2 linked regions of the Kluyveromyces lactis genome follow. The protein of the gene in region 2 interacts with the protein of the main gene of each other region in a pairwise test. Links are inferred from orthologs where the notes say so. Each region holds a gene or a part of one and is shown on either strand. Other genes may lie near its edges.

What was found. The genes of interacting proteins can lie anywhere in the genome.
Region 1: the proteins of TRM112 (region 2) and MTQ2 interact in binary tests that used the Saccharomyces cerevisiae proteins (3 or more experiments, as listed by UniProt). The link is inferred for Kluyveromyces lactis from reciprocal best matches to the Saccharomyces cerevisiae genes TRM112 and MTQ2.

What each region holds. Positions count from the first base shown.
Region 1 is NC_006042.1:1,643,446-1,645,961, forward strand, and holds MTQ2 (S-adenosylmethionine-dependent methyltransferase), read right to left. Parts: upstream 1,201-2,516; coding exon 532-1,200; downstream 1-531. Other genes in the region: DOP1 (Dop1p), read left to right, coding at 1-480; NEDD8 family protein RUB1, read left to right, coding at 1,458-1,606, 1,708-1,792; CLF1 (Clf1p), read left to right, coding at 2,147-2,516.
Region 2 is NC_006039.1:1,637,582-1,639,863, reverse strand, and holds TRM112 (RNA methylation protein TRM112), read right to left. Parts: upstream 949-2,282; coding exon 550-948; downstream 1-549. UniProt on the Saccharomyces cerevisiae protein: Acts as an activator of both rRNA/tRNA and protein methyltransferases. Together with methyltransferase MTQ2, required for the methylation of eRF1 on 'Gln-182'.

The sequences.
Region 1 (2,516 bases), on a different chromosome or scaffold from region 2:
GCTGATCATTGGTCGATGTTATTCTCAGGTTTACAATCATCTTTACTCACAATATATGAAGCTATACAAGTTCAACAATCCATTGACAGTAATGTTGTCCTTCAAGTATCGAAGACTCTTGATCTTCTTCTAACCGTTAACGTAGAAGAATTTTCTGCCACTCATGAGTGGTTATTCGTCATTGACACTATTAATAGTATTTACAAGAAGGATCCTTATGTCGCGCTAGTAGACGAGATAAGCCAATGTAAAGATTTGGTAATGGTCACGACGTCGGGTGTTACACTGAATGAAGATACTACATTCCGTGTTCCCTTGCTAGTCAACATACATTCCATTGACAGCGTTGTAAACCTCATTCCTTTCTTCTTCAATCTCAGTTACGATCACTATGAAGCGATGTACAACTTAAACCCCTTGAACGAACAGGTATGTATTGATGATTTATCGCATGACATTTGTCATCAATTCATTAAGTGATCTTCAATAAATATTTTCATTTAAGCAATGAGAAGCTCACATTTGCGTTCATCAGTTTCTATAAAATTTATAAACACTTAATACTTCCCACCCTGCTTTTCTGTGTATCACTAATTCACTTTTCCATCCGCTGAACTTCATCTTACTTGCCACAGTTTCAGGTTTATTTCTAGCACAAAACAATATGTACGCTACTCCGTTGCAGCTAAGAATTCTGTCCAATCCATTCAATAGTCTCTGTGTGACCACCATCCCATCATCACCACCATCCAATGCTAGAAAGAGCCACTCATCATCACGAACAGCATGATTTGAATGAGGCAGTTCTGGTACAGTTTCTGCAGGTACATATGGTGGATTAAAGACAAGCAGGTCGACCTCATTTTCCCTTATTGAAGACGTAAGGTCTGTTTGTAATACATCAAAATGGCTATTCTTGCAACCATTCTTCGAACAAGTGTCTAAGGTAGCGTCCAATGCCCAAGGGTTCAAATCAGTTGCCAAATAAAGTCCATTGGCGTTTGGTATACCATTTTGCATAAGAAACGTAGAGACTATCCCAGAACCAGAACCAATTTCTATAGTCAATGGTACTGCGTCATTGAACCTGTTATTCAACCAACTCAGATCAGCTTCTAATGCATCTAATAAAAGAAAAGAGTCCTCGCTTGGCTCGTATACTTTATTATAATCATAAGAGACGTATGGTGTAGCTAGCATCGCCCTGTTATCCTAAGCCCTGATGAGCTATAGCTCGCATCAATATCTGTTCTGCACCTGTATCTTTTCAAACATGGAAGTCATCGCATATATAATATTGTATTTGAAAAGTTGATATTGAACAATAACGTATGCAAAAGGTCATCTAAAAGAAAGTAATTAAATTGAAGCTTAACAACTAGTCTACTGTTTGATACAACTATTAATCACCATTTTCAGAGAATCGACAATCAGTTGCTTGTTTGTGGTTGAGAAAGATGCAATTAAAGGTCAAGACATTAACAGGGAAGGAAATCTCCGTAGATGTTCAAAGTTCAGAAACGGTCTATCATATCAAAGAGCTATTAGAAGAAAAAGAGGGTATTCCACCATCACAGCAGAAGTTGATCTTCCAGGGCAAACAAATGTATGTTAATTAACTGATAATTCAGAACTGAGAAGAGTTTGATATCAAATTAATGTAGGGACTCTTTTACTAACTAGTAAGTAATGCTATCTTTAAATCAGAGATGATAACGCAACAATCGGCAGTGCCGACTTGCAAGATGGATCTCTTTTACATCTTGTTCTAACTTTAAGAGGCGGTTGTTGAGAGCCATGTGTCATTGCATTGCGAAACCTCAAGATACGTATGTGTATAAGTATTTTGCAGATAAATACCTGGAGGAATTACTCTGCATTTAATAAAACGACTATAATTATTGGAAGCTAACACTATGAATGACATAATTTACATTTACACGACCGTCCAATTATCAAACAAAGGAAGGATGTAACACATGCTTGTTGCTTTTCCTTGTATGCATGAATGAACCTTATAAATACATAATGATTCAGATATCAAATTTAGTGCGAACATTATAATTGTAGAAACAGATGAACTTAACGACAACGATGCAAACAAAAGTAAGAAAAACACGGATAACTTACCTGACTATACTGTAACATGGGTGACAATAGTTTATCCAATGAAGCCATCACTGCCGATAATATTTTGAAGGATGCCTTTAGCCAAAAGAAGCAGATTGCAGCTACTACGAAGGCAGATATATTAGATTTGGAAGAACTGAAAGACTGGCAACGAAGGAAAAGAACAGAGTATGAGACAGTTTTGAAAAGAAATAGGTTAGACCTTCGTCAATGGATGAGGTATGCTCAATTTGAATTTGATCAGAAAGATATACGAAGAGCTAGGTCCATTTATGAACGCGCTCTTCTTGTTGATCATGGGTTTATTCCACTATGGATTCAATACATCGACAGTGAAATCAAATGGAAAAATATCAACCATGCAAGGAACTTGTTAGACAGAGCAA
Region 2 (2,282 bases):
TATAAGTTTTGGTCAACAAAACCCCACAGAGTATATGGCTTTCAATGATTATTATATCAGGCTCAAAAGAAACAGCAAAATACAAGTAAGTACCGGTGCTGTAACAGGTGTTAATATAAAACTGATAGAAACAAACCGGATTGAAAAGCCTGGCAAAATATTTAACCGAAGAAAACGTGTATTCACGGGGCGTTTTAAGACAACCTTTTATTCGTGTTAGCAAAGTACTCAATAAAACTTACTTCCTACAGCTCTAATACAATAAAATAACGAAAATTATGCGAAGTACGGTGCATCCTGGATTTTATTTTAACACTCTTTACTTAATTAAGAATCATTCCTGGCTGGATTAAAACCCTCTTTTTTTCGAACATACAAACCTTGTTTTCTCTCCATTTCTGGATTTTCATCATGGTGGCTCTTCAACAATGTGGGCCTTTTGATTGTCAAAGCCTCGTCGTCAGCTGATATAACACGTGACCTGAAATTATTCTTTATTAAGCTAGAAAGTTCACTGTATGTACATATATAGATGCTGGATTTGAATATTCATGCTAGATGTGGTGGTAGAAGGAGGTTTGGAATGCTGTTTTTTATGTAGTATATGTGTTCACAGTTTTTGCATTGCATTTGTCCCTCTACAATGTTAGTTTGAATTAACAGTGTGTGCAGATCTCTTAGAATGACCATGTCCTCATCCGTTAAATTCTCTTCAAATTCTGGTTTGTTGGGTGGTAGCTCAGTATTTCCTAAATCTGATGCTACTGAAACTACAGCTTGCCAATCAACACGGTCAATTATTCTTAAAAGGAACTCCGGGTTGAATTCGATGCTCTCATCCTGTTCTAGTTGACAATTTTCACGAACGTAGCGAAGTGGGAAATTCAGGTTACTGTTATCGCATCCTTTCACGGAACATTTAAGGAAGTTTGTAGTTAGGAATTTCATATCTGCAGTTAGTTTAATGGGTCGGGTATAATTCGATTCACAATAACAAAATGATGCTGATTTTATTGGGACTCACTTCATCTCATCGCATTAACAACTCTGTTCGAATTCATTGATAATTCGATTTTTACGGTTTTTAATTTTTCATGTTACAGAAATGAAAAGAAAAGATTCCCATGCCAGAAAGAAGCAGGGTATGCATATGAAGAACAATATGTAAGTATTATAATCTTCAATATCTGATTCATTCCTACCTAACGTTAACACTCCAAAAATTAAATCAATCTTGAGGCAGACAAGCATGCTAATCGTTTCACAGACATTTTTTTAAATTTTTTTTATTTTCTTTGTTGAGATTATTCTTGTAGATATTATCCTGTCACATTGAGCATATGAATCAAAGCTACTCTTAAAATAACAGAAAGGAAAAGCCATGTATCCGTAAAAAAAAGAGAGGCATTGCTCTAGTGTTTTTTCGGATCTCAGCAAACATAAAAAGATGGCTCCTATCCTTTTTAGAGCTTTAAGCCAATTTCACTTCTTATGCTTAAGCAAAATACCATAAATAAATTAATTTTCGGAAACTAAAATTTTTCAAAACATATATTTTATTTTAAAAAATTCAAAATTCCACATTATTTTAATTAAAATTTTTTCAATATAAAATTAATAAAAAAATATTTTTAATTGCAATAAAGTAAAAGTTTAGAAATTTATTTTATATAAAAAGAGAGAAAATGTAAAATTTGATTTTAGTCACATGATGTTTTATGATTTTACTTAATTTTTGAATACATTACGTACGACAGACTCCACTGTCAAGAAGTTGAGCAGGTACTATAATCTTCGTTCCTGTTTATGCGTTTTTACTATTTATTTGAAGGTAGAACTGTTATTGAATGCTAACATTTGTGTTACTTTTGATTGATTTTAGTGAATTTTGCTTTATTTTATAGAATTTAATTATGTTTTTTGTATTTTTTTGAAGAATTTATTTTAACTTATTTTTTATTATTTTCTGAAAATATTTTTTTTATTTATTCTATTTATTATTTGCCATTATCTAAGGATTCTATTGCATATGGACAATTTGTATGTACAAATGAACTAATTAATTGTATGTTAAAGCAAAAATACAACTCTGGCTTAACAACACTCTAACCACTAACAGATCAAGAAACCTAAATTATTGTGATCATTAAGTATAGGAAAGGAGAAACCAATGGCTATTAATTAGTACGTTATCTTTCTATCCGACCATTTCACAATTTGGGAGACACTTTAAATTTGTCGTTTAGTTCTGTTTTAATATTCAGAAAAAAAAACAATTAGAG